Linked DNA regions of Macaca mulatta. The protein of the gene in region 1 binds, or shares a complex with, the protein of each later gene. Links are inferred from orthologs where the notes say so. Each region holds a gene or a part of one and is shown in the gene's direction. Other genes may lie near its edges. The genes, in order: EXOSC9, EXOSC2, EXOSC4, EXOSC5, EXOSC6 and EXOSC3.

Region 1 (3,853 bases):
ATTTTGTATATACAATAATGCATAAAATGTGTATATTTATATTATCACTATATATAGTAATATATAGCATATCAGCTATATAGAGATGTATACTAGATAAATAACATACAGGATACTATATAGAGAGAATATAGATATATAAATATAGGGATATAAGTATTGCATTTTTAGAGGGGCTAAATATTGTGATTTAAATTTCAACTAAATTATTGTGGCTAACTGCAGTACTAACACGACTTGCTAAAAGAATATGCATATCTTTGTAGAGTAGTGGTACACTTTGGCATAAAATGATAGTGACATTTTTAATTAAAAAAAATTTTTTTTTGTAATGTATTTGGGTGGGTTTTAAGGGAATGAGTTTCTGGAAGATCTTATTCCTCCGTGCTGTCTTTTTTTGTGGTTTCTAGACTGAAACAAAAAGCCCATCCTTTATCGGAACATGTAATACTGTCTAAATAAAACTTTCTGGGATAGAAACATTACACTGGTATAGCAGCCACTAGCCCCACGTGGCTACTGAACACTTGAAATGTGGTTTGTATTACTGAGAACTGAATTTTTAATTTTATTTAATACAAAATTAAGCAGCCACATGTAGCTAGTGGCTACCATACTAGACATTGCAGTATTAGAACATAAAAAAATTCTAGAAATGACTAGAATACTGATAGTCCTAGACGTTGCTTGCATTTTGAAAGCCATAGAACTGAAGAAGTTGTTTTTGTGTATGGTTATTTTTACTTAAAAAAAAAAAAAAAGCAAATTCTTGCTGGTCTAGATAATAGAATAATGACTTATTTTCTTATGTGGTAAGAACAGAAATCCTACAAGGAACTGGGAACTAGGCTGGCAGGGAAAACTGAAGGTGATATGTTTAGTAGGAATGTAAAACAAATACTTCTGTTTTCAAAGAGAGAAATTATGAACACTACTAGAGCCTGAGCTTTTTGTTTTTTTACTTAATAGGGAAGGAAAAAATTTCCCATTGATTGGGACCCTTACTCATATTTCCCAGTGGTTACTTCTATTTGGTATAATTCTTCCAAATACTTGTCCCAGGTATTTATTTACTCTCTGTGCAGTGATATAAGCTAATGCTGCATAGACTTATGTAGCATTGAATATAACTAGTTGGTTTAACAATTCTCTTATTGTTGAAGATGTAAGTTGTTTCCATTTTTTCACTGTTAACAATATCCTTGCACTTGCATATACCTTATATGTTTGTTTAGTGTATTCTTCTAACAGTGAATAGTATTTTCAATTGAATATAATGAAGGTGGACCTAAGAATTGGAAAAATGGAGCAGGTACAGCCTTTCTAAAGCATGTGAAGAAAGGGAGAAACTAACTGAAAACTAAAAATACAAAGAATTGATATGGGTTAATTCACGTTTTATGTATATCATTAACTAATGATCAGGAGAAAAATAGGCAAAAGACAGGGAGCAGTACTCAAAATATACAAATGGCCAGTAATATTTTTCATGGTCAGCCCTGATAGTAATACAAATAAAATCCAAAGAAAAATGACATGGCATTTTTTGTTACTGTATTTTGGGCAGTATTAAAAATACCAGCAATGCCAAAGGTATATGGGAAATGGGTTTTTATTTATTGGAATGTAAACTGGAACTATTTCTGGAGGAATAGAGTAGCACAAACAATTCAATTGTCTCTACAAAAGATGATATATAGATTTCCCCCTAACTTTTCTATTATGACATGTACCAAATTGTCACGCCATTCGAGCACTTGCAGGAAATAAGAGTTTAAAGAAACAAATGTTACAGACAAGTTCTAGAGTGCTCTAAGAAGCTGATTTAAAGAGAAGAGTAAGCCTCCACCTAAAGAGTGGCATGGGCTGTTATATGCAAATAGTCTTATTTTTATTTATTTTTTAGGATGGAGTCTTCCTCTGTCACCCAGACTGGAGTACAGTGGTACTGCAACCTCAACCTCCCTGGTTCAAGCGATTCTCATGCCTCAGCCTCACGAGTAGCTGGGCCTATAAGCACATGCCACCACAACTGGCTAATTTTTCTGTTTTTAATAGAGATGGTGTTTCACCATGTTGGCCAGGCTGGACTCGAGCTCCTGACCTCAGGTGACCAAAATGACCTCAGCCTACTAAAATGCGGGGATTAAAAGTGTGAGCTACCACGCCCAGCCCAACCCCAGCCCCAGCAGTAAGAGTTTTAGAACGTCTGATAGAAATAAACTTGTGCAGAAGTAAATATTGCAAGAGATTGCTTACCCTTTTTTTTTTTTTTTTTTTAAAAAAAAAAAAGATGCTCCCATAATACTGTCAGATAGTGAAGAAGAAGAAATGATCATTTTGGAACCAGACAAGAATCCAAAGAAAATAAGGTAACACGTTTCTGGTTTATTTCAAATGTATATATATATATATTCAACACTTCTAGAGGTTTGCTCTCTGGTTTTACTCTCATCTTGCCACACGACTATAAACAAAAAGACGTCCCTTTTTCATTAGCGATCCATCTGTTCTGTGATTTCTTTACCTTGTGATTTATAAAAATTAGGACCAAAATCTATAGAACTCTTTGGATGCCAGTCTTACACATTTTATATCCTATTGGAAAACTAAGAAATGCCTCTTATTTCAATAATCCAAAACTTAACAAGCATACGCTTAGTAAATTCTTACTTTATTAACAGAACACAGACCACCAGTGCAAAACAAGAAAAAGCACCAAGTAAAAAGCCAGTGAAAAGAAGAAAAAAGAAGAGAGCTGCCAATTAAAGCTAACAGTTGTATATTTGTATATATAACTATTAAAAGGATATTTATTCCATTCTAAGAACCCTGGGTATTTTTTATTCACAAATCCATTATAAAATCTAGCAGGGTTTTAAAAATAGTTTTTTGTTTTTAATGTTATGCTTTAAAATAATAAACCTTCTGGAGCATTTCTCGTCTGTTAATTTGCACGTAAGCTTCCCACCCTCTTCCGCTCCCAGCCTCTGTTTAGTTTGCAGAACCTAAACAGGTTTTACAAAGAGTGAAAAAGTCTGTATTCAGATATGCTTAGATTATGCCCATCAGCAAATTGATCCAGTTGCTTAGGAAAATGAATGTTAGAATTTGAGGGTCTGTTTTCCTAAACCTACTTTAATTTTAGAGGAAGGTTTTCACTTCTCATTATATAGTAAACCAAGTAAACTTTTTTAATTGAAATCCTGAAGAAGTTAAATTTGACTTGCGAAGTTTTCCAAATCAATTTATTATCCTGACAGCTGGCATCATTAATACTTTAACAAAACCACTTAAAATTAGCCAAATATCTAAGACAGATACATATACAAAAGATATACAAATTAAAACCATTTAAAAAGTAATAGATACCATAATTTGTACTTGGCCATAACTTCTGTATTCAGAAATGATTGTAAAATTAAAACCTAAGTTAAAAACTGTACACCATATACTTTGAGTGATTTACATCTTAGAAAACAAAGGCAGTCTTTCATTGTTACAGATTTAGTGTCTCTGGTGGGTTGAGGAGAGAAACACCATGATACCTGTAAGTAGGAAAAAAAAAAACAAAAACATTTTTAGTAAACAGTCACTGGGTAAAGGAGATCATGGAATAATGTTTGTACTCATGTATTGGGAACTAAAAAATGCTATTTCTCTCTGACCGAGTTGATGGTGTTAGAAACATTGGTCCCTGAAACACACATGCATGCCCCTCTTCCTTCTCTCTCCTCCCCCAGACCCAGGGCAGAAAGCATGAACTGCAACCTTCTTCAAACACATAACCAATTAAGAGAACAGCTTCTTAAGGAGGCTATGGCAGATTCATGAATGAAGTTAAAATGTCAAA
Region 2 (4,324 bases), on another chromosome or scaffold:
CATCCAGGTTGTACAACCAGGCTTTTTCTGCCCCCTCCATATCCCCTACCCCACCCCTGCCTGCCCTGTCATGCTGTAAGTCTGAGGTTTTGACCATGACTGTAGGTGGGGTGGTGCAGATCAGTGTAGGCTTCAGAGGTTTTCCCATGTTATGTCACCACTCCAAGCCTTGGTTACCTCCTCTGCAAAGTGAGTATAATAGCATGGCCTACTTCACAGGATTTTCTTTTTTTTTTTTGAGACGGAGTCTCGCTCTGTTGCCCAGGCTGGAGTACAGTGGCACAGTCTGCACGCTGCAACCTCTGCCTCCCGGGTTCAAACGATTCTCCTGCCTCAGCCTCCCAAGTAGCTGGGATTACAGGCACTCGCCACCACGCCTGGCTAATTTTTTTATACTTTTAGTAGAGACAGGGTTTTACCACGTTGGCCAGGCGGGTCTCGAACTGCTGACTTCAGAAGATTTCCCCCCCACTTGGCCTCCCAAAGTGCTGGGATTACAGATGTGAGCCACTGCGGCTGGCCTAGGATTTTCTTTAGAATTCAGTGAGATGGTGCATGTAAAGTATTTAGCACAGGGCCTGATACCTAGAAGCATTCAATGAAGATTAGCCCCAGAAAGCAAGCCAGTGAGGTTAGAACAGAGTGAGTGAGGGAGAGAGTAGGGGCAGATATGAGCAGAAAGCTGAGGTGGGCAGACATAGGCCTGCCTTGTAGCCAGAGTAAGCATTTCGGCTTCTACTTTGTGTAATCTGGGAAGCCCCTGGAAGGGGTGGAGCAGAGGAGGGACTTGATCTGGACTTAAGCTCACTGTGGCTGCCGATGGGAGATTGAAGGGGGATAGAGCAAGCTTAGGGAGGTGGATTAGGGACCATACTCATAATCTGAAGTGATGGTGGCTTCGACTAAGGTGGTAGCAGTGGAAGGTGGAGGAGTGATTGGGATCCACATAGATTTTATTTTCTGAGTGTTTTTTTTGAAATCATGAAAAGGTGTTGGGTTTTGTATTCTTTGGACTTTACTGTACATAGGACCCAGTCAACTGTGAATAGAAATAATTTTACTTCTTCCTTTCCAATTTGGATGCCTTTTATTTCCTGCATATGTTTTAAGGGTAGAGCCAGCAGGATTTGCTACTGGACTTGTCCTGAAGTGTGTGAGAGAGAGAGAGGAATCAAAGAACTCTCCAAGGTTTATTGGCCTGAGCAACTGGGGATGGAGTCACCATTGACTGAGATGGGGATAACTCATCCCCTACCTCGGTTTGCTACGGAGGACTGGAGGGGGCTGTGGGAAAGCTTAGTTTTGGGCGCGATACATTTGAAAATGCCTATTAGTCATCTAAATGGCAGAGTTGGGTAGCTGGCAGTTGAGAAGGATTTGGAATTCAGGAGAGTGGCACAGTGACAGCACAGAGTGGTATTTTAATGGTATTAGATTGAGTGGCCGAAAAGCGAAGAGGTCTAAGGACTTGGCCTCAGCACCGAGTACGTCTCATTAGAATTGTGGATGAGGAGCTAGCAAAGGGGCTTGAGAGGAGCAGGCAGTGAGTGAGTGGGAGAGACATGAGCAGACTCATGCGGTTGGCGTCTGGCTCAGATTTCCTTTCTCTTCCTTTGGCTGGTGCAGAACTCATCCGTGTGCCACAGGAAAATAGTCCATGTTTTTCAGTGTCATGTAATTGAACAAAATAGGGGGTTTTTTTTGGCTAAATGAACTACTTGAATAGCGATTTGTTTGAGGTTAATGGAGACTTTATACATGGAGGAATGTTTGAAGTTAGCAATTTCTGAAAATAAGTCCAGACAATATAGTTACATGAATTTGCTGAATGTGACGCCTATTCAAGGCTTTCACTCTGTTAAACCAACATCTCAAATGGTGTGTGGTCTTGTCAGAAAGTCTGCTCACAGATGCACGAATCCCTTGTGTTTTATCTTTCAGATACATTGGTGAAGTAGGAGACATTGTAGTGGGAAGAATCACAGAGGTAACGTCGATATCAGATTGGTGTTTACAAAGTCGAGGCAGGCTGGCGATTGTATTCATGGGACAGTCATTCCACTTGTAGTTACATGAAAAAGGCATTCGTTGCATTTGGCTATTGTGTGGCCTCTGATGTAAATATGTGGCTTGTTCGATTTGGGATTACTGGTTACTTTCTTTTTCTTTTTTTGAGATGGAGTCTCGCTCTGTTGCCCAGGCTGGAGTGCAGTGGCGCGATCTTGGCTCGTTACAACCTCCGCCTCCAGGGTTCAAACGATTCTCCTGTCTCAGCCTCCTAAGTAGCTGGGATTATAGGCACCTGCTACCACGCCCGGCTAATTTTTGTATTTTTAGTAGAGACGGGGTTTCATCATATTGGTCAGGCTGGTCTCAAACTCCTGACCTTAAGTGAGCCACCACCTCGGCCTCCCAAAGTACTGGGATTACAGGCGTGAACCACCGCACCCAGCCTTACTGGTTACTTATGATGTGAACTCCTGTCCCTGGAGCATGTGTCCAGGTGTGGAACTTGGCTTATAGGTTCAACAGAAGAGGTGGAAGGTGGAGACCAACTCCAGGCTGGATTCGGTCTTGCTGCTCTCGTCCATGAACCTTCCTGGAGGAGAGCTGGTAAGGGCTACAGCTGGGGCCATGGACTGGAGCCCAGTGGGCTGGGGGGAGCTGTGGGACCCTTTGTTCCACCAGAGGACTTTGCTTTACACTGAGGTTACCCCTTTGACTCCCGTTTGTCTGCTGTGAAGTTTGCTGTCTGGATGTGTATGTAGACTTTTCACCCTGTCCAGGTCTCCCGAAAGAGGGAGCAGTTGGCATACGGTAGGATCAGAAACATCCATGGGGTGGGATCCCAACAGAGAGTTGGGGAGAGAAGCTCTTAGATGCTGCTTGTTAATAGCTTTCCTTTTCTGGACGTATCAGCTTTGCACAGTGAAGATGTTCCTTGGAAAGCTGTCTTTACGTTAGTTTTTTGTGAATTGAAAGGCATTTGGTTATTCCAGACAACCACAGTAACTAAGCCACAGCCTTTTGTAAAATACCATGGTTCACCTTTATCTTCAGTCCAGCATGTATTTACAGAGAGGCTTACTGTGCCAAGCTCTGTGCCAAGTGCCAAGCACGACTGAGTTCCCCAGCAGGGGATATAAGATAACTGACCCAGTATCTGGCAGTAGAAGAATAAATAAGCTGTGGTTATACAAAAGGAGTGGTTCATTCCAGTGAGAGAAGCTCGTAGGAAAGACAGGATGGAGAGACTTTAAATAACTAGTTCAGGGAATCTGAGATAAAGGGAAATGTGTGAGCAGAGATATATCCAAGCAGGAGTTAGTCTGGTCCTGCTGGACCACAGAGAGCTGTCATGGAAGATGAGTGTGGAAATGTTGGCTGGGTGAGATTGGGAGGGGTTGGAATGCTCCTCAGGGAAGGGAGGGAAAGAGGAAGAGAAGAGGACTATGGAAAAGTCTCTTGCGATGGAAAGTCGTGATTATCACTCATTCCCCTCAAGTGGCTCGGGTTACCTACTTTTGCCATAGTTCTCAGTGTTTGAGTATTGTGGTTGGCCTCAAAAATCTCAAAAGGAAGTGAAAGAGAAAGAAGTGATGGAGACCTTTCTGAGGACCTGGCTTCAGTAATGTCATTTCTTTGTGTATTTCAGAGGAGAAGATCTGCAGAAGATGAGCTTGCAATGAGAGGTTTCTTACAGGAAGGGGACCTTATCAGTGTATCCTGTGCTTTGCACTGCAGCCTCTTCATGCTTTTCTGTGGGGCTGGGAAATGGGCCTTCCATTGTATGTCTCTGACGGAAGAACCGTTAGACCAGGTGTCGGGCTCTGCTGTGTCCTTTCTCGGTCTCCTTAACTCAGGCTGACTCCCCAGCTCTTGTTCAGACCTGCTGCTAAGTCATTTCTTTGGGTCTTGTAACTTATGGTAGCCTGTGCTTGAGGCTTTTGTTAATGATGTTAACTTTTAGCCCAGGGAGTGGAAGAGGTGTTGTTCACATCAAGATATTAATGACAGGCCGAGTGTGGTGGCTCATGCCTGTAATCCCAGCGCTTTGGAAGGCCAAGGAGGGAGGATTGCTTGAGCCTAAGAGTTCAAGACCAGCCTGGGCAACATAGCAAGACCCCCTCTCTACAAAAAAATAAAAATAAAAAATTAGCCGGGCATGGCGGCACATGCCTAGCTACTCAGGAGGCTGCGGCTGGAGGGTTGCTTGAGCCCAGGAGCTCAAGGCTACAGTGAGCTCTGATCACACCACTGCATTCCAGCCTGGGTGACAGTGCACGACTCTGTCTCTATTTTATGTTATTTAAAAAAAATTTTT
Region 3 (4,545 bases), on another chromosome or scaffold:
CACTCCAGCCTGGGTGACAGTGAGACTCCGTCTCCAAAAAAAAAAAAAAAAAAAAAAAACCAAAAACCTTCCCCAGGCATAGTGGCAGGTGCCTGTAATCCCAGCTTCCCAGCTACTTGGGAGGCTGAGATACAAGAATCACTTGGACCCAGGAGGTGGAGGGAGCAGTGCGCTGATACTGTGCCACAGCACTCCAGCCTGGGTGACAGAGTGAGACTCCATCTCAAAAAAACAAAACAAACAAACAAAATGACCCAGTAAGAACAGGGACAGGAAGAGCTCAGACTGCAAGGGGAGAAGGGCCTGGGCTGCTCCACAGTACGCAGTGTCTGGCTGCAGAGCCAAGGGTGGGGAATCGGTGGTGGCCAGTGGCAGAGGATAGTGGCCTATCATGGCCTCATACCAGCTGCAGCAGCAGGGCTGTGGCTTGCTCACTCATTCTCATGCCTCTCAGTCTTTCAGGAGAGCATAACCACCTCTAAGGGGATGCTGAACTTGGGCCCCTGCAGCAGACTGCATTTCCCCAGCCCACCTGCTGTTCCTACAGTCTAATATTGACACTCCTCCCACTGAAGGGTGGGGTCCCTGTCCCCATCCCTTAAGCCTGGGTAGATGTGTCTGACTGCCTTGACCCACAGAGTCTGGCAGGAGGGACACTATGTGACTTCTGAGGCTAGGTTCTAAAAATATCATGCACATGTTGTCCATCTCATTGTCCTGGAAGGCTACCCTTGGAACCCAGCTGCCATATTGCAAGGAAGCATGGAGAAGCCACAGGTAGGTGTGCTGCCTGACAGCCACAGATGAGGTCCTGGCCAGCCACCAGCATCAGCCACCAAAGATGTGAAAGAGAAAGCTTTAGGATGGCTCCAGCCCCAGCCACCATCTGGCAGCAACTGTAGGAGAGAGCCTACGTGCAAACTACCTAGCTGAGCCTAGATAACCCAAGACTGCAGGATATAATAATAGAATGATTGCTATTTGAAGCCGCTGAGGTTAAGTGGCAAGAGATAAACAGACACACAACCCCTCTCTGGAAAGGATGAGGAAATCTGCAACCTCAAAAGGAAAAGGGAGGCCCACTCGACTGCAGTGTGGAAGCTCGGTGTAAAGGGAGGGCATGAGAGGACTGGAGAGGTGCCAGGTGTGGACCATCCTCGGACACCAGCCTGGTCACTTTTCTAGGACCGCTCAATGCCTTCTCCTGTCAGTGTCGCAACCCACTGGGTTCATCCTTCCACTTCCACACTTGGGGCGCGGGGAAGGGCTGAATGTGGGCACCACTGGTCCCGAGGGCGTGACGGGAATTTCTCCTTCGGCGGGCGCCCACCTCCTGGCACCCGTGGCACAGCTCCGGGAACGGCTGCGGGCTCAACCGCTGCTTCCCCGACAGCGCCACCGCAGTTCCCCGGAGACAGAAGTGAAGCCGAACCGCCAGAAACCGTAGATCCAGGGAGGTCGGTGCCGCGAGGAACTCCAGTTCCCCGGGACCGGAAGTGACAGCGGACCGCCGGAAACCGTAGATCCAGGGAGGTCGGGACCGCGGGGAGCTGTAGCTCCCCGGAACCGGAAGTGATAGCGGACCGCCGGAAACCGTAGATTCGGGGAGGTCGGAGCCGCAGGGCGCTGTAGTTCTCCCGCGAATCAGAGAACTAGGCAGAGAGCGGAGCTGGCGGCCGGGCAGCATGGCGGGGCTGGAGCTCTTGTCGGACCAGGGCTACCGGGTGGACGGTCGGCGCGCCGGGGAGCTGCGCAAGATCCAGGCTCGGATGGGCGTGTTCGCGCAGGCTGACGGCTCGGCCTACATCGAGCAGGGCAACACCAAGGCGCTGGCGGTGGTCTACGGCCCGCACGAGGCGAGTGGGCGTGCGGGATGGGAATCGCGTGACCGCGGGATCTGCGGGGCAGCCGGGCTGAGCACAGGTTCGGGGACTTGAGAGGTGCGGCCGGCGCGCCTCAGTCTACACAGCCGATGCTCAGCACTGCATCTCACTCGGAGTAAATGCAAGTCTTTAGTGTGCTGCGCGGTGGTCCTGCCTTTCTCATCGGTCTCTGTGCCTGCGCTCTCCCTCCTCTTTGCGGCTCTTCAACGTGCCAGGCACTCCCCCACTCGCTCCCTCTCCTCTCAGCTCTACTCCGACGTCACTCCTTCCCAGACGGCTTTATCCATGCGGTACTTCTCTCCCTACAATAAACCCTTGTCTTTTGTGCATCTACAATCTCAAATGCCTATTTTGCTTAAGCATTTTCCCGTTTCCTCGCTAGAACATAAGCTTCCTAAGGACAGAAACTACATAAAACTCTCTGGTTTCATTGCTGTGTTTCCAGCGCTGTAACTGTGCCTGGCCAGTGAAGGTATTGAAAGAGTGTTTGTTTAGCGCATGAGGGTAGGAGCTCTGCTTTCCAGGCGGAGGGAACCAGGAGGGCGAAGACCACGGTGGTGAAAACAAGCAAGGCACTTATGCATAACAGAAAGACTGCTGGTGGGGAAAGAGGGGATAACTCTAAATAAGGTTGAGAGTTCCCGGGGAGGTGAGGAATTAGGGTTTTGTAGACCAGGGAAATGATTTGGGATTTTATATCATATGTAATGTGAAACCTTTGTAAGGTAATTAGGATTTGAGTGTGAAGGTGAGACAGAATCAGCCTTGATGTTTGTAAACTTGGGTTGGCAGGGAATGGGGCAAGGATGGGCACAAGGAAGCCAATTAAAAGATGCCAGAGGGCAACACATGCAAGACAGAGAGTGCAAAACAGGGGGCTTTGTTTTGGAGGTAATGTAGTTGCCCCTTGCTGAGGCATTGAAAGTGGAGGGAGAGGCAGACCCACAGAGGACAGTGGCGTGTGAGCTGGAAGGAGTGGGCCTGGCTCATGTGTCCGTCCTCTTCCAGATCCGGGGTTCCCGGGCTCGAGCCCTGCCGGACAGGGCCCTAGTGAACTGTCAATATAGTTCAGCGACCTTCAGCACAGGTGAGCGCAAGCGACGGCCACATGGGGACCGGAAGTCCTGTGAGATGGGCCTGCAGCTCCGCCAGACTTTCGAGGCAGCCATCCTCACACAGCTGCACCCACGTTCCCAGATTGATATCTATGTGCAGGTGAGCCGGCTGCAGCGTCAATCCAGGGAGGGGTGGGTGTGATGGGGTTGGGGAGAGAGTCTGATAGACTCACACCCTGGGGTCCCTGCAGGTGCTACAGGCAGATGGTGGGACCTATGCAGCTTGTGTGAATGCAGCCACACTGGCAGTGCTGGATGCTGGGATACCCATGAGAGACTTTGTGTGTGCGTGCTCAGCTGGCTTTGTGGACGGCACAGCCCTGGCGGACCTCAGCCATGTGGAGGAGGCAGCTGGTGGCCCCCAGCTGGCCCTGGCCCTGCTGCCAGCCTCAGGACAGATTGCGCTGCTTGAGATGGATGCCCGGCTGCACGAGGACCACCTGGAGCGGGTGTTGGAGGCTGCTGCCCAGGCTGCTCGAGATGTGCACACCCTCTTGGACAGAGTGGTCAGGCAGCATGTGCGTGAGGCCTCTATCTTGCTGGGGGACTGACCACCCAGCCACCCATGTCCAGAATAAAACCCTCCTCTGCCCACACAACCCTCACTGTACGTTAATCACCCAACAGCACTTCAGAGCCATGTGAAGCCTGGCAGAGCCTGGTCTGGTGCTGGCTCCTGGGGATGACCAGGGCCCCTCGCCCACACATGAACTGCCTATCTCTGTGTAGCCTAATTCAAACCCTGAAGAGAACAGTGGATTAGGGGGTTGCTGTGGGGGAGGTCCTGGGTGGAAAAAGCAACATGTCCCAGTAAGGACTCAAGGCAGCTGAGCAGGAGGCAGGGCCTGGCAAGATGAGCCAGGTCATTGGACTGAGGAATCTGTTACCCTTACTCTGGCACATCCAGGGCCCTGAGCAAAGGGCTGAGGGAGAACTCAGCTGGCTCTGAGTACCCAACCTAGAGATGTGGGGGCCATGTCCCATGGCCTCTGGACTATGGCCTGGAGCCCCTTGGGCTTTTCCTGCTGCTTACCTTGGGCTCTAAAAAATACAACAGCCAGGCATGGTGGCTCACACCTGTAATCCCAGAACTTTGAGAGGCTGAGGTAGGCGGATTGCTTCAGGTCAGGAATTTGAGACCATCCTGGCCAACATGGTGAAACCCCGTCTCTACGAAAAATACAAAATTAGCTGGGGGTGGTGGCACATGCCTGTAATCTGAGTTACTCAGGAGGCTGAGGCAGGAGAATCTCTTGAACCGGGGAGGCGGAGGTTGCAGTGAGCCGAGATCGTGCCACTGCACTGCAGCCTGGGCGACAGAGCAAGACTCCATCTAAAAAAAATAAAAGTACAAAAATTACCTGTTCTCATGGATCACTTGAGGTCAGGAGTTCGAGACCAGCCTGGCCAACATGGTGAAACCCCATCTCTACTAATACAAAAATTAGTGTGGTGGCAGGTACTTGTAGTCCCAGCTACTAGGGAGGCTGGGGCAGGAGAATCACTTGAACCAGAGATGAAGGTCACAGTTAGCCAAGATAGCACCA
Region 4 (5,058 bases), on another chromosome or scaffold:
ATTGCCCTTATGATGTGCCAGGTCCAGTCCTTAGCATTTTACATATTAATTTTTCACAGTCCTATGAGGTGGCCACTGTTAATATTTTAGAGAGGGAAATTAGGTCCATAGATCCAGAGAGGTGCAGTCCGTTGCCCAATACACAAGTGGAAAGTGGCAGAGCAAGGACATGAACCCACCCATGTAACCACTACTCTCCTATCTGTCAAATGTAGTTCAAAGCTCTTCTGCAACCCCTTGCCTCTCCCCCTCTAAAGAGAGGCTTCCACCCAGGTTTTTTGCAGTGTAATTTTGACAGCATCCACCTGAAGGGATTGTGACCCTTTTGACAAGAAACAAAGCCTTCTCAAGTGTTTCTAAGAAATGTGGGCAAAGTGCCCTATCTGTACCTCTGTCCCTCCGTTTTTCCCCTCATTAACTCAACAAATATTAATCATCTCCTCTGTACAGTGTCCAGAACACACGAGTTCCCTGTCTTGATATTCGATCAGGAGACACAGGAACCAAACAAAATTTTTACACAATTCATTTTAAAATCAGAATTGTGGCAAAGGAGCAAAGAAATACAAGGCCCTATGCAGCCTGCGATAAGGGGACTTGCTCTCTTCTTTCTTCTTCTTGAAGAGGGATCTTTGCCCAGAAGAAAGTCTCTCCTTTATAAAGTCAGTTTCATTCTCCAAAGCCTGAGGGAAAAGGTCTCGCGGTCTTCCCCTGTCCCTCCAAGGAACCTCCCCTGAATACGAGTGGCAGTTAATAAGGAACCCCCGGCCGGGCGCGCTGGCTCACGCCTGTAATTCCAGCACTTTGGGAGGCCGAGGTGGGCGGATCACGAGGTCAGGAGATCGAGACCATCCTGGCTAACACAGTGAAACCCCGTCTCTACTAAAAATGCAAAAAAAAAAAATTAGCCGGGGGTGGCGGCGGGCGCCTGTAGTCCCAGCTACTCGGGAGGCTGAGGCAGGAGAACGGCGTGAATCCGGGAGGCAGAGCTTGCAGTGAGCTGAGATCCGGCCACTGCACTCCAGACTCCGCCTCAAAAACTAACTAAATAAATAAATAAGGAACTCCCATCCCTCTCTTCAAGTCGTCTCCCTTCCTCAGGGCCCACAAAGAAGTTGCAAACGGGTTTTGTCCTCTCCTGAAGAAGTGGAAGTTCTTTTCTTCTAAGGAAGTGGCAGATCTTCCCTTCGGTGTCTTCTCCAAGGGGTCTCCCACTCTTTTTCCCTTCTGTGACAGCCCTTCCTTCATATCCTTCAGGGACCCCACACTCTGAAGATAGCCTTTACATCCCTAATCCCCTTTGGGAAAACCCCCTGGGGCCCAGGTACTCACAGATCTAGCCAGTCCCCGAGCCCCAGGCCGCCACAGCAGCAAGAGGGCAGCCTGGCTCAGGCCTCGGTTTGGCCGCCAGACCCTCGCCGCAGCGATCGCTACCGCCATCTTGGCTAGCAACCACTCAGCGGTAGGGCACTCACGTAGGCTAGATTCGGGGCTGCCCCTTTATGTGCCTGACACAAACTCCAGCACCATCTGACAAGAAAATCACCTTCTTCCCATTCTGTTGTAGATAGAATGCACAGAGATTTGGAGAAGAAAACCTATCTACCCAAAATTTTCCCCAGTCGCCTCATTGTAGTTACTCCTGTAACAGGCAAAGAAGAGGGCAACCTGACCACGGCCTCAGGGATTTAGGGCCCGGGGGCCCAGAGTAAAACAGGTCACTGCCAAGGCCTGCCTCCTGTTCTCAACTGTCCAATGGCGTTGCCAGAGTTAGGAGGTGGGACTGGGCGGAGCCAGATTGTTGGTAAACGCTAAGCCACGTGCGGACGCCAGGACTGACGGCCGAGCCCAGCGCGTGCGCAATGGTTACGCAGAGTGTTCGCAGCGCGCGCTGCCGGGCGGAAGTGATAATCGCAGCCGCACGTGGGGTCGGCGCGATGGAGGAGGAGATGCATACTGACGCCAAAATCCGCGCTGAAATTGGAACAGGGTGCAGCCCTCGGGGTCCCGGCTGCAGCCTCCGGCACTTTGCCTGCGAACAGAACCTGCTGTCGCGGCCAGATGGCTCTGCTTCCTTCCTGCAAGGTAAGAACTTACCCAGGTCTTTTGGAGAGGGACTACCATGTACCGTGCAACGGAGTGCCCATCTCCCCATGATACCAGCTGGTAAATGTCACTCCTGCGTTGATACATGATTTCTTGTCCGATTGAATACTACTACATACGCAGGGATACATACATCTCTCCCTCACGACTAGAAAGGAGAAGATAGCTCCATCTTTGTAAATATGTCTGAGAATGACAGGCGGGGCAGACCGTCCCCGCAAGAATTGATATTTCAGAATAGGGAAAATCACCTCACCAGGGTAAATATCGCCCTTAACTAGGTTCCTCCTCCTCACCCCCGCCCCCGCCCGCCCCACACACACGCCCGCTAGGTCCTTGCATCCCGGACTGACGCAAACCTGTCAATTTGCATACTCTGGACTGTGGCGGATCTTTCACCCACGTAAATACTCCTCAAATTGAAGATAATGTCACTGCCCTGGGTTGAAAAATACATCCCCACCGCTACCTCACTGCATCTCTCCACAGGAGTAAATATCCCTAAGATTAGGGCAAGTCTTACCTATAGGGCAAATATCCCCTTCCCCTAGCTAAATAACTCTCAGAACCAGATTAACTCCAAGAATATTTCTCTTTAACGTTTGAGACAGGAGGCTGGGCACAGTGGCTCACGCCTGTAATCCCCACACTTTGGGAGGCCAAGGCGGGTGGATCACCTGAGGTCAGGAGTTCGAGACCAGCCTGGCCAACATGGCGAAACCCCGACTCTACTAAAAGTACAAAAATTAGCCAGGCATGGTGGTGGGCGCCTGTAATCCCAGCTACTGGGGAGGCTGAGGCAGGAGAATCTCTTGAACCCAGGAGGCAGAAGTTGCAGTGAGCCAAGATTGTGCCATTGTACTCCAGTGTGCACGACAAAACAAGATAATGTCTCAAAAAAAAAAAAAAAATTTTGAGACAGGGTCTCACGATGTTGCCCAGGTTGGTCTTGAACTCCTGGACTCAAGCAGTCCTCCTCCCAAAGTGCTCATATAGGTACCAGCCACCACGCCCAGCCCCAATACATTTTAACAAAATCTGGCTGCTGTGTTGATTGTGGGGAGTATGGGGGAAAACAGGGAGGTGATGGTGGCTCCAGCCAGAACAGGAGTAGTGGAGGTGATGAGATTCTGGATGTAGTTTGAAAGTAAAACGGACAAAACTTACCTATAGTTTGGTTTGAGTGCGAGGAAAAAGAGTCAGGCATAACTAAGGTTTCTGCCCAGATCTGTACAAGTCTGGAAATCAGGAGAGAGACCCAAGCTGGACATAGGCAATTTGGAACTCTCTGGCTGTATATATGGTATTTCAGCCTATTGACTGAACGAAGTCAGTGTAGATGGAAAAGAGGTCCCAGGACCAAGCCCTAGGCCTTCCAACTTGAGCAGTCAGGGACTTGTGACAAGCAAGCTAAAGGAGACTCAGAAGGAACGCCCAGAGACTTAGGGGGAAACCGGGAGAGGGTGGTGACCTGGGGCCAAGAGAAGAGCGTGTCTGAGATGTGAGGGCTGACAGCTGTTTCGGCCTTACTGACAGCCGGGTCAATGGAGGGTTGATCATTTGGAGGTCAGTGGTGACGATGTTGAGCTGCCGCAGTGGAGTGGTGGGGTCACAGGAAAGGAAGAATAGACAGCTGTTCAGGAGTTTTGCTGTAAGAGGATCAGATAAGTGGGGCAGGAATTGAAGATGGTTGTGGGGTCAACAGGGGAGAGAATTGCTGGAGCCACGTCTTGAAGAAGGTGAGAGGGGAGGGACTCTTGTGCTCAGGCGAAACACAGGCAGTTCATCTGGAGCCAGAGGCGAGTTCTATTTTGGTTTCTCCAGTCCTCAGGGCAGTTTTTCCTGGAACTAAGCACACCTTCCGTGTAAGGGCAAATTGGGCATCCCAGGAAATACCGCCTTAACCAGGGACCTTCCCGGACCCTCCCTCAGGCTTAGCACTTATGCTGAATTGAGATACCTCAAGTTTCTTCGAACCTAAGAATTAAGAAGGGGCCGGGCGCAGTTGCTCACATGGGTTGCTCACACCGGTAATCCAAGCACCTTGGGAGGCCGATGAGGGTAGATCACCTGAGGTCAGTAATTCTTTTTTTTTTTTTGACACAGAGTCTCGCCCTGTCACCCAGGCTAGAGTGCAGTGAAGCGATCGTGGCTCACTGCAACCTCCACCTCCCAGGTTCCAGCGATTCTTCTGCCTCAGCCTCCCGAGTAGCCAGGACCACAGGCGTGTGCTCCCACGCCCAGCTAATTTTTGTAGTTTTTAGTAGAGACGGGGTTTCACCATGTTGGCCAGACTGATCTTGAACTCCTGACCTCGTGATCCACCCGCCTCGGCCTCCCAAATTGCTGGGATTACAGGCGTGAGCCACCTCGCCCAGTCGAGGTCAGGAGTTCTGAGACCAGCCTGGCCAACATGGTGAAAACCCGTCTCTACTAAAAATACAAAAATTAGTCGGACAAGGTGGCACGCACCTATAATCTCAGCTACTCTGGAGGCTGAGGCACGAGAATCACTTGAGCCTGGGAGGCGGAGGTTGCAGTGAGCTGAGATTGCACAACTGCACTCCAGCCTCCTGGGTGACAGAGGGAAACTTTGTCTCAAAAAAGAAAATAGAGACAGGAGTCTTGCTATGTTGCTCAGGCAGGTCTCAAACTCCTGGCCTCGAGCAGTCCTCCCACCTGGGCCTCCAGAGTGCTGGGATTACAGGTGTGAGGCACCATGTCTGGCCTCAAATGTTTTGGGTTTTTTTTTTTTTTTTTTTTTTTTTTTGAGACGGAGTCTCGCTGTTATTGTCCAGGCTGGAGTGGAATGGTGCCATCTCGGCTCACTGCAACCTCCGCCTCCCCGGTTCCAGCAATTCTGCCTCGGCCTCCCGAGTAGCTGAGATTACAGGCACCCACCACCATGCCCAGCCAATTTTTGTATTTTTAGTAGAGATGGGGTTTCACCAT
Region 5 (5,002 bases), on another chromosome or scaffold:
CAAACAAGGATGTGCAGAGGGAGATCGCTGACCTTGGAGAGGTAGGGGTGGCTTCCCTCCCTCCTCAGGGCCTGACGCATGAGACATGCCCTGGCTTCAGTAAATCTATAGTCAGTCAGTCCCTGGTTCTTGGTGGAATGGGCCTTTGGGCTGACTTCTGTTGTCCTGTAGCCTTGTAGCAGGGACCCCATCGATCCTGGCCTTGGACCCTGGAGGTTCCCTGCTGCCCCCATTGCTGCTAGCAGGAGAGCTCTTCCCAAGCATGTGTGGGCACTGGGGTGGAGGGATTTGGAGAAGGGGAAAAGGCTGCCCCCTGCTTCCAAGCCTGCCTGGCATTTATTTGCATTTTAAGCTGCCAGGAAGCTCATCACAGGCTGTTCCCAGCCTGGTAAGGACTAGGCCTGACTTGGAGCCCAGCTTTCTACTGTTCCTTTCTCTCTAGCCCTCCTTGTTTTACCTGCCGCAGCTGCTCCAGAAGGGACTGGTCTCAAAGCCAGAAGACAGCTTTGTGTTTTTGCTTTCCTTTCCAGGACACTAGTCAGGGAGGACTTGGGTTCAGGTGGGGTGGGCTTGACCCTGACATCCCAGCAAGTTGTGGCCCAGATTCAGATGGTCTTCTGGTTCTCGTTCCAGGCCCTGGCCACTGCAGTCATCCCCCAGTGGCAGAAGGACGAATTGCGGGAGACTCTCAAATCCCTAAAGAAGGTCATGGATGACCTAGACCGAGCCAGCAAAGCCGATGTCCAGAAACGAGTGAGTCCGGGCAGCACCGGTGGCCAGAGTGTTTCCTAGGCAAAGGCCGGCAGGATACAGCCAGGGGTTTGCGGCTTGTGCTTTTGGTCTGAGCTGCTCTTCTGGACTTTTTTCTTGCAGGTGTTAGAGAAGACAAAGCAGCTTATCGACAGCAACCCCAACCAGCCCCTCGTCATCCTGGAGATGGAGAGCGGTGCCTCAGCCAAGGCAACCCAGGGGCCGGGGCCCCCTCCCCTGGGGCACATCAGCCCTTTGGTGGCTGATATGTGACCTCTGTGGCTCTGAGCCAAGTGGTTGCCTAAGGGCCCACTGTCTGGGATTAAGGTTGGGAGGAGCAGCAGCTCCCTGCATGTGGGAGGCACACCTGGGCCAGGGTGTGGGCAGGGCCCTACACTGGGGTCCTCCACCCAGGCCCTGAGGACTACATCTGCTCTGGGAAGGGGTGGGGGTGGGTGGCGGTCCTTCTGAGGGCTGCAACTGCTCACACTAGTGAGGGTCCCTGCTCCAGCACCATGGTCTGAGCCAGGTCCTCCCCACAGGCCCTGAATGAAGCCTTGAAGCTCTTCAAGACACACTCCCCTCAGACGTCTGCCATGCTCTTCACAGTGGACAACGAGGCTGGCAAGATCACTTGCCTGTGTCAAGTCCCTCAGGTCAGAACCACCTTGCACCAGTGGGAAGTGTTGGGTCTTAAGCTTGTTTGCTGAGGCCTGTGTGTGTACAACCTGCATTTAAAAGAGCCTGTCTCCTGCCTGCCTGTTGGTCACCTTTGCCAGTACCTCTTACCCAGGCCTCCTCACTGGTTGCATCTGTCTGGTTGATACTTGGCTTTGCCACTCTGTCCTGTCCTGGCAGGGGCCATGACTGCCCCCTGCACTAGCCGTAAAGTCTGTCTCTGCCTCCAGCAGTATCACCCAGGGCAAAGGAGTGGGTGATGGCTCCTCCCTCAATCCCATTTTCTGTCCTGACTTCCCCCTTCCCTTTCTTTCTTCTAGAATGCAGCCAATCGGGGCTTAAAAGCCAGCGAGTGGGTACAGCAGGTGTCAGGCCTGATGGACGGTAAAGGTGGGGGCAAGGATGTGTCTGCACAGGCCACAGGCAAAAACATTGGCTGCCTGCAGGAGGCGCTGCAGCTGGCCACTTCCTTCGCCCAGCTGCGCCTCGGGGATGTAAAGAACTGAGCGGGGGAGGAGGTGGCTTCTACTGGCTCCATCCGTCCAGCCGGGAGCTCTTGATCTGCTACAAGAACATTTGAATCCTGGGACCTTTTGAGAGCCCCTCCTACCCCGGCTGTACCTGGAATACCCTCACGAGCAGTCCTGTGACTCAGCGCCCCTTATACTTCTGCCCTGAGCCCTCCACGTCAGTGCCATCTGTCGAGAACCACTACCCCCGCATTGCTGTTGATCACCACACTCGCATCTGTAGATAACAGCTTTCCAGCCTGAGCTTTCCGCGTCAGCAAGGACGAATCGTTTTTTGCTGCAGAGAATAAAAGGACCACGTGCAATACTTAATGCTATATGATCTCTATCCCTCTTCCCAGGTGGAGCTCGCTGTTTTGACAGCCCTTGGCCCCTGCTGTCTGTAGAATAAATGCTGTGGCTTATACTGGCTGCTGTAGTGTTCACCTAGTCCAGCCCCAGAACCCTAAATTTTGGGAAAAGCCCCTGGGGTTGCCTCAAACGTTTGTGGAGGTTGAGGCCAAATAGGGTGACATGGAGCAAGGCGTTCATAATTCAGTAGATGGGTGGGGTTAGTGGAAGCAGAGAAGCCTTGGAGCTGCTCTCCCGCTCCCTTCCAGCAGGAGGGATGGATCAGGCAGCCCTGCACAAGTGGGACCAGGGCGCCAGGGACGCCGGCCGTTCTCCCTCCGAGCCTCCAGCAGGCGCTGTAGCGCCGCCCGTCACTCTCCCGACAACCCTCACGCAGGCGCGCGTCTTTAAGCAACGGAAGAACCAGTGGGTGCGGCAGTGCGTTGGGCGGAAGCGGCTCTCACGCCAGGAGCCGCCATGCCCGGGGACCACCGCCGCATCCGCGGCCCTGAAGAGTCGCAGCCGCCGCAGCTGTACGCGGCCGACGAGGAGGAGGCGCCCGCCGCCCGCGACCCAACGCGACTGCGGCCCGTGTATGCGCGCGCCGGGCTGCTGAGCCAGGCCAAAGGCTCGGCCTACCTGGAGGCGGGAGGCACAAAGGTGCTGTGTGCAGTGTCGGGCCCGCGACAGGCCGAGGGAGGCGAGCGCGGCGGCGGCCCGGCCGGATCTGGCGGCGAAGCCCCGGCCGCGCTGCGCGGTCGCCTGCTGTGCGACTTCCGCCGCGCGCCCTTCGCGGGCCGCCGGCGCCGCGCTCCCCCGGGCGGCGGCGAGGAGCGTGAGCTGGCGCTGGCGCTGCAGGAGGCACTGGAGCCGGCCGTGCGCCTGGGCCGCTACCCGCGCGCGCAACTCGAGGTGTCGGCGTTGCTGCTGGAGGACGGCGGCTCGGCCCTGGCCGCCGCGCTCACCGCCGCCGCGCTCGCCCTGGCCGACGCGGGCGTTGAGATGTACGATCTGGTGGTGGGCTGTGGCCTGAGCCTCGCGCCGGGGCCCGCGCCCACTTGGCTGCTGGACCCCACGCGGCTAGAGGAAGAGCGCGCCGCCGCCGGCCTCACCGTGGCGCTCATGCCTGTGCTGAATCAGGTGGCCGGGCTGCTGGGCAGCGGCGAGGGCGGCCTGATCGAGAGCTGGGCGGAGGCCGTACGCCTGGGCCTCGAGGGCTGCCAGCGCCTCTACCCCGTGCTGCAGCAGAGCCTGGTGCGGGCGGCGCGCCGCAGGGGCGCCGCCGCCCAGCCCTGAACTAGAAGCCTGAGCAACGACGGACGCAAGCCGAGGACCGTGCTGCCGCCGTCCCCGAAAAGACCCGCGCCGTCGGCCTCCAGCCTGCGTCGAGATAAGCAGCCGGAGCCCTGGAGAGCACCTGGGTAGGCCCTAGCAGAGCCAAGGCGCCGGACAGCTGTGGTGTTGGAAAGGGTTTTTACAAACCTCGTTAAAGGAACTTTACTTGAGCCGGCTCTTAGCTTCGACCCAGTTGAGGAAACCTGTGAGCGCATCCTGACTCCCAAGTTGGAAACTTTAGCTGGACTTACCTGGAAGCTGGTACCTAGAGCTGCTGTCATTCAGGCCAGCCAGTGACCCCCTCCGATATAACTGGGCGACTTTTCAGAGGATGGACAAGACGACTGTGCCTTCTGTGTCTGAGCCAAAAGAAAGACCCTTTTATATTTGAAAAACGTCTTATGGTGTGGTTCTTCTTGGTCCGGGATTTAAGAGAGCAAGGCTCTTTTGTTCTTGCATCCCAGGTGTCAAGGGTCGCGGCGGCATTGCCTTAAACGGGTTCTGTTCCTTAGGCCCACGTGAACAGGAGAGACGGGCTGAAAAGAGCTCCAGAGCCTGATGGGAGCGCTGTGATTTGGAGAGCAGCTGCACCCACACGAACCAGAGTTAGGGGAACTGCTGAGATACGACGAGAGTAGGGAGAGTTGGCCGGGCGCGGCGGCTCACACCTGTAATCCCAGCACTTTGGGAGGCCAAGGCAGGGAGATCACCTGAGGTCGGAAGTTCGAGATCAGCCTGACCAACATGGAGAAACCCCGTCTCTACTAAAAATACAAAATTAGCCAGCACTAATAATGGTGGCATATGCCTGTAATCTTAGCTACTCGGGAGGCTGAGGCAGGAGAATCGCTTGAACCCGGGAGGTGGAGGTTGCGGTGAGTGGAGATCGCACCATTGCACTCCAGCCTGGGCAACAAGAGCAAGACTCCGTCTCAGGAAAAAAAGTACGGCCCCAGAAGTGCGCTGAGTGCACCTCGTGCCCCAACCTGGCTTGGTGCTGGGTAGCTGAAAAGGGTTTTGCTCTGGGTAGAAGCCATCTGTCCTTGGCCATGTGCAGAATGGCACAACCCGAGCCTCCACGGCTGATGAGAAGTGGCACCCTGGTCCTACAAGGAAGACCCTGAGCAGCACCGCAGAGGGCAGGTGCACTGCTAGGAAGGCCAGGTACAACCTGACTGACTCACCACGAGGTGGGGTCTTTCCTGTGTCGCTACCAGCTCTGCTGGTTTGGGCTCAAGACTGCATGGTAGGAAGCTAGGTGACTGCCATTTGGAAGGCGGCCTGGTCCCCTCTCTGCACTCAGCTTCTCTAGGAAGGGCCGGCCTGGGTCAGCCCAAGGACCAGAATGAGTTTCTGGGGCCACACCCAGAACCCCTGAC
Region 6 (4,940 bases), on another chromosome or scaffold:
ATAAAAATATTTATATAGCTATTATATAGCTATATAAAATAGCTTATATTGTTTATATATATTGTTGGCCTTTTATTATACCCAGGGGAAAATAGTTTGCCAAATTTGGAGGGTGTGTTAAAAATGATCTGTCTTAATCATCCTGAAAAATCTAAAAATTTGGCTGGGCATGGTTGCTGATGCCTGTAATCCCAGTACTTTGGGAGGCCAAAGTGGGCCGATCACTTGAGGTCAGGCGTTCAAGACCAGCCTGGCCAGCATGGTGAAGCGCTGTCTCTACTAAAAATACAAAAATTAGCCAGGTGTGGTGGTGCACTCCTGTAATCCTAGCTACTCGGGAGCCTGAGGTAGGAGAATCGCTTGAACCTGGGAGGCAGAGGTTGCAGTCAGCTGAGATGGTGCCACTGCAGTCCAGCCTGGGTGACAGAGCAAGACTCTGTCTAAAAAAATATATTTATATATTATATATATTTATATGTTATATATTTATATGTTATATATTTCATATATTTTTTATATATATAACATTGGAAGCAGGTGCCTCAAAGAGGTGAGCAGCAGAAAGGGAGGGCAGTTAAAGGCCATCAGTCAGTCATGGCCTCCCAGACCCTGGGAACTCTACCACTGCTGGAGAATCTGATCAAGCACTAATTGAAGGTTCCAGTTGACAGAGGAAACGGTGATTTCAAATAAGAACCTCAAAAGTCAGATGATTGGAAGCTCTATGGATTTGGAATTCAACTGCTTCTCACCTGGGCAACTAAGTGTGCTCCAGGGAAATTTGAGTTACTTATATTCCAGGCCATGCAGGACTATCGCAAGCATGTGAAATATGTATATTTGCAGGAGGAAAAAGTCTAGGGAGAAATACACACCAAAGGAATACATTCGTTCATTCATCAGGCATTACCTATTTCATGCCACACCTTGGGCTCTAAAGAATCAGAACTACCACGTAGCAAGGGAGAAAAACGGGTAAGAATAAAACATCATTTATTTCCTTATTTTATTTTTGTCTGTGTTTTCTAAATGTGACTAGATCTCTAACAACCAAGAAGGTTTTATTTATTTTGAAAAAATATACTTTCCCTGTTAAAAGGTGAGCCACTCTTCTGAGGGCAGAGTCGGAAAGAAGGGTCCAGAAGCCCACCTAGCGTCCGATTTCCTTTTGTTTGTTTTTTTTGTTTTTTTTTTTTTTGTTTGTTTAACAGAGTCTCGCTCTGTCTTCCATACTGGAGTGCAGTGGCGCCATCTCGGCTCACTGCAACCTCCGCCTCCTAGGTTCAAGTGATCTCCTGCCTCAGCCTCCCGAGTAGCTGGGATTACAGGTGCATGCCATCACGCCCGACTAATTTTTGTATTTTTAGTAGAGACAGGGTTTCACCATGGTGGCCAGGCTGGTCTTGAACTCCTGACCTCAAATGATCCACCCGCCTTGGCCTCCCAAACTGCTGGGATTACAGGCGTGAGCCACTGCACCCGGCCCCAGCGTCCAGTTTTCAAAGCCCCTCTGCTCAGCTTCCAGAGATCCCAGGAAACTCTAAGTGGGAGCATCTCGTATCCCCACGATGCGACCGGTCACAAAACACGGGACCCGAGACACTGAAAGTGGAGGCTTCTTGATGGATCAAGCTGCGCAGTTCTCATACCGACCCGCGGCCAGGCTGTAAGACAGGTGGTCGGCTACAGACACAATCACAGCCACCTTGGACAAGGACCCGTGAGCTGACAGCCATTAAGCTGCTTATAAACTGGTCCAAATCTAACGGACCGCTACTGCCGGAAACGGAAAGTCCTCAAGGGCGGGTGTTGGAAGCAGAGCGGAAGCGGAAGGAGAGTACCGGAAACGGTGTTTGGTGGCGCACGCGATGGCCGAACCTGTGTCTGTTGCGGCTGAATATCTCGCGGGCAGCAGGGCGCGCGCTGCACGCACAGTACTAGGTCAGGTGGTGCTGCCGGGTGAGGAGCTGCTCCTGCCGGAACAGGAGGACGCGGAAGGCCCTGGCGGTGCTGGGGAGCGACCGTTGAGCCTGAATGCTGGAGCGCGCTCGCGGGTGCGCGTTGTATGCGGCCCGGGCTTGCGGCGCTGTGGGGACCGCCTGCTGGTCACCAAGTGCGGCCGCCTCCGTCACAAGGAGCCCGGCAGTGGCAGCGGCGGCGGTGTTTACTGGGTGGACTCTCAGCAGAAGCGGGTGAGCTGGGACTGCGGAGGGGTGGTGCGGCCGTGAGAGTGATAGCCCTGGTTTGAGAAGACCTCCCAAAAGAAAAAGGGATGAGATCCTGAGGCCCTCTTGTTCAGGCAAACCTAGAGCCACCGTAGTCTTGTGCCCACTTCTGCATGTCCTTTAGAGGGACCGTGAACAATAGGAACATAGCCTGAGAAGGGCGACCAGGAGAGAAAAACGTTTGGAGACCGTGAGTCATGATTATAAAGTCTTCAAAACTCCAAACGTCAGGGAGCAGCAGGCTTGCCCATTCAAGTCTCAGAGGGCAAGACCAGGCTCAATGAGTGGATGTCATAGGGAGTTAATTTCTCCTAGAACAGGTAAGAAAATTTTTATACAGAAAAATTTTTCTGTATAATTTTTCTGTATAATTTTCTTTCATACGGAAAAAAATTGTCTAACTATGGAATGGGCTTCCTTGGTTGTAAGGATTCCTTTGCCACTGAACTTATGCCACAAAGCTAGGAACTTACTGGTTGGGGTGCTGAAGAGATAATGGGGTTTGGACTCAATTAACAGACTACCAGAAGCTGCACACCTGACACTTTATGATGTGATTTTCTTTTACCGAAAGTGGCATATGATCAGATTTCTTTCTCTTTAATGACAATAAAGTAACCACGAAGGACGTGCTGAAGGTATCTTCCAATGGTATCTTCTCATTTATGGCTGTTTTCTCATTCTATTTCCTTTTGTAGTATGTTCCAGTGAAAGGAGACCATGTGATTGGCATAGTGACAGCTAAATCTGGAGATATATTCAAAGTTGATGTTGGAGGGAGTGAGCCAGCTTCTTTGTCTTACTTGTCATTTGAAGGTGCAACTAAAAGAAACAGACCAAATGTGCAGGTAATTATGGGAGCCTTTGGCTTCAAAGTAAGAAACATCCCTTCTCTAGAACACTCAGATATCCAGAAGGCTACCTGAATTGTCTCCGAAGTATGACCTAGATCTTTGAGCATGTATATAATTGCCCCAGGCTCCAAGAGTTTCTTCAGATGCTGCAGGATCAGAGCCACATAATTTTTTTTTTTTTTTTAACATTTACAATTTATTTTACATTGGCTACATTTGTTCTTGGGATGTTTCATTTCTACTGAGTTGAAAGGTTGTATCTGTCATCACCATTATTTGTTATGTCCATATCCTCGGGACAAGGATGTCTGCTGTAGGCTTAGAGGAGTGACAGGTGGTGCAAATTGACATTATCAGCTATCCATCCATCCTGGCTGTAGGTCCTAGAAGCTGATAGAGGAGTAATACTGTTACCTTGGGTTTTCAGGTTGGGCTTTTCAGGTAGCATAGCCACACGCTTCTTGTCTATCCAGCCCGAAATCTAGTGATGTCTTTGCCTCTTCACATTTACTTCTCATGCAGATTTATTTGCTTAATCTTATTTGATTCTGTCTCTGATTTTTGGCATGTCTATCCCTTTATCTCCACTTTGCAAGTTCAGGCTTTAGCTCCGTCTTGACTGGTCTCAGTCACTTCTTCATTAATCCTTGCCTCCACGCTTTTACCTCACCATCCAGGGTTTTGAGAGCTGACATCCTAACACAGTTACTTTCTCGAAAAGGAAAAACGAGATTCTCCAAAATCCACAGAATTCCTTGGCATTACACTCCAGGTGTCTTTCCTCATCCCTAATTATATCCTTCATACAGCCATACTCTAATCACACCAAACGCCATTAGACTCAATTTCCTGCCCTTATTCCTTTACACATGCTGTTCCCTCTGTCTTGATTGCACTATCCCTTCGCAGCCTGTGGAACACATTCTCATCCTTTGAGACCTAGGCTAAACACGACCGCCTTTGTAAAGCCATCCCCAGTTGTGACTTTTCTCATATTTTTGCTCTAGCACTTAATGGATTTAGCCTCGACTGAGGTTTGTTTATATGTACCTCCCCACTGCCCTCCAAGACCAAATGCTTCTGAAAAGCAGAGAATGTTTTGTTCCTCTCTAGTTTACATAGTCACCAACAAACAGTGGGTACTTAATATGTTTTGAGTGAACAGAATTGAGTTCACTCTCCATTTCCTCAGTTTCATCCCTTTAAGGTTTAGCTCTATGAGGTTTTTAAGTAAATCTTGCAGGGAGAAGTGTCAGTGAATTATTGTTTTGTTTTGCTTTGAATAATTTGCATGCCGGAGTTCCTCTCTGTAAATTGTAATTCTCTAGGGTAGTGCCACCTAACATAACTTTCTACAGTGATGCTGTTTTGTATCTGCACTGATTAGTATGGTAGCAGTTGAGCACTTGAAATGTGGCTAATGCAACTCAGGAAATTAATTTTAAATATCTAATTTTAATTTAAATAGCTGTTGAGCACTTGAAATGTGGCTAATGCAACTCAGGAAATTAATTTTAAATATCTAATTTTAATTAATTTAAATATAAGTTTAAACAATTGGCTACCTACCATATTGGACAGTGCAATCCTAGAGGTGTTCTCTGGCCTTGAGATGGGCTCCTTGTCTGTGATTTCCTGGTTGGTGAAAGGGAATGATACATGTGTTCCTTTTTTTCCCCAAGACTCAACTTCAAAGTGACTGTGGGAATCCTGTAGTACAGTCAGTCCCTTAGCCACAGAACTGTAGGTGGCTGGCATTGATGCCTGTGAGAAAGAACCAATAGCAGCACCTGTAGAGTAGTTTGCTGAGAGGAAATGAACTGGTTTTTAATATCATTGTAGGTTGGAGATCTCATCTATG

Evidence for each region.
Region 2: EXOSC9 (region 1) and EXOSC2 share a complex: the UniProt entries of both Homo sapiens proteins name them as parts of the RNA exosome core complex. The link is inferred for Macaca mulatta from reciprocal best matches to the Homo sapiens genes EXOSC9 and EXOSC2.
Region 3: EXOSC9 (region 1) and EXOSC4 share a complex: the UniProt entries of both Homo sapiens proteins name them as parts of the RNA exosome core complex. The link is inferred for Macaca mulatta from reciprocal best matches to the Homo sapiens genes EXOSC9 and EXOSC4.
Region 4: EXOSC9 (region 1) and EXOSC5 share a complex: the UniProt entries of both Homo sapiens proteins name them as parts of the RNA exosome core complex. The link is inferred for Macaca mulatta from reciprocal best matches to the Homo sapiens genes EXOSC9 and EXOSC5.
Region 5: EXOSC9 (region 1) and EXOSC6 share a complex: the UniProt entries of both Homo sapiens proteins name them as parts of the RNA exosome core complex. The link is inferred for Macaca mulatta from reciprocal best matches to the Homo sapiens genes EXOSC9 and EXOSC6.
Region 6: EXOSC9 (region 1) and EXOSC3 share a complex: the UniProt entries of both Homo sapiens proteins name them as parts of the RNA exosome core complex. The link is inferred for Macaca mulatta from reciprocal best matches to the Homo sapiens genes EXOSC9 and EXOSC3.

What each region holds. Positions count from the first base shown.
Region 1 is NC_133410.1:130,631,149-130,635,001, forward strand, and holds the end of EXOSC9 (exosome complex component RRP45), read left to right. Parts: intron 1-2,293; coding exon 2,294-2,372; intron 2,373-2,383; exon of another isoform or gene 2,384-2,684; coding exon 2,685-2,769; 3' UTR 2,770-2,824; downstream 2,825-3,853. UniProt on the Homo sapiens protein: Non-catalytic component of the RNA exosome complex which has 3'->5' exoribonuclease activity and participates in a multitude of cellular RNA processing and degradation events.
Region 2 is NC_133420.1:16,884,016-16,888,339, reverse strand, and holds part of EXOSC2 (exosome complex component RRP4), read left to right. Parts: intron 1-1,941; coding exon 1,942-1,987; intron 1,988-2,523; coding exon 2,524-2,613; intron 2,614-3,655; coding exon 3,656-3,721; intron 3,722-4,324. UniProt on the Homo sapiens protein: Non-catalytic component of the RNA exosome complex which has 3'->5' exoribonuclease activity and participates in a multitude of cellular RNA processing and degradation events.
Region 3 is NC_133413.1:154,460,911-154,465,455, forward strand, and holds EXOSC4 (exosome complex component RRP41), read left to right. Parts: upstream 1-1,566; 5' UTR 1,567-1,685; coding exon 1,686-1,856; intron 1,857-2,891; coding exon 2,892-3,098; intron 3,099-3,189; coding exon 3,190-3,549; 3' UTR 3,550-3,591; downstream 3,592-4,545. UniProt on the Homo sapiens protein: Non-catalytic component of the RNA exosome complex which has 3'->5' exoribonuclease activity and participates in a multitude of cellular RNA processing and degradation events.
Region 4 is NC_133424.1:52,540,776-52,545,833, reverse strand, and holds the start of EXOSC5 (exosome complex component RRP46), read left to right. Parts: upstream 1-1,872; 5' UTR 1,873-1,937; coding exon 1,938-2,085; intron 2,086-5,058. Other genes in the region: BCKDHA (2-oxoisovalerate dehydrogenase subunit alpha, mitochondrial), read right to left, coding at 1,333-1,440. UniProt on the Homo sapiens protein: Non-catalytic component of the RNA exosome complex which has 3'->5' exoribonuclease activity and participates in a multitude of cellular RNA processing and degradation events.
Region 5 is NC_133425.1:69,618,390-69,623,391, forward strand, and holds the start of EXOSC6 (exosome complex component MTR3), read left to right. Parts: upstream 1-1,965; 5' UTR 1,966-2,765; coding exon 2,766-3,584; 3' UTR 3,585-5,002. Other genes in the region: AARS1 (alanine--tRNA ligase, cytoplasmic), read left to right, coding at 1-41, 634-753, 874-960, 1,293-1,406, 1,749-1,934. UniProt on the Homo sapiens protein: Non-catalytic component of the RNA exosome complex which has 3'->5' exoribonuclease activity and participates in a multitude of cellular RNA processing and degradation events.
Region 6 is NC_133420.1:61,812,004-61,816,943, forward strand, and holds the start of EXOSC3 (exosome complex component RRP40), read left to right. Parts: upstream 1-1,860; 5' UTR 1,861-1,868; coding exon 1,869-2,192; intron 2,193-2,756; exon of another isoform or gene 2,757-2,923; coding exon 2,924-3,073; intron 3,074-3,147; exon of another isoform or gene 3,148-3,469; intron 3,470-4,648; exon of another isoform or gene 4,649-4,843; intron 4,844-4,921; coding exon 4,922-4,940. UniProt on the Homo sapiens protein: Non-catalytic component of the RNA exosome complex which has 3'->5' exoribonuclease activity and participates in a multitude of cellular RNA processing and degradation events.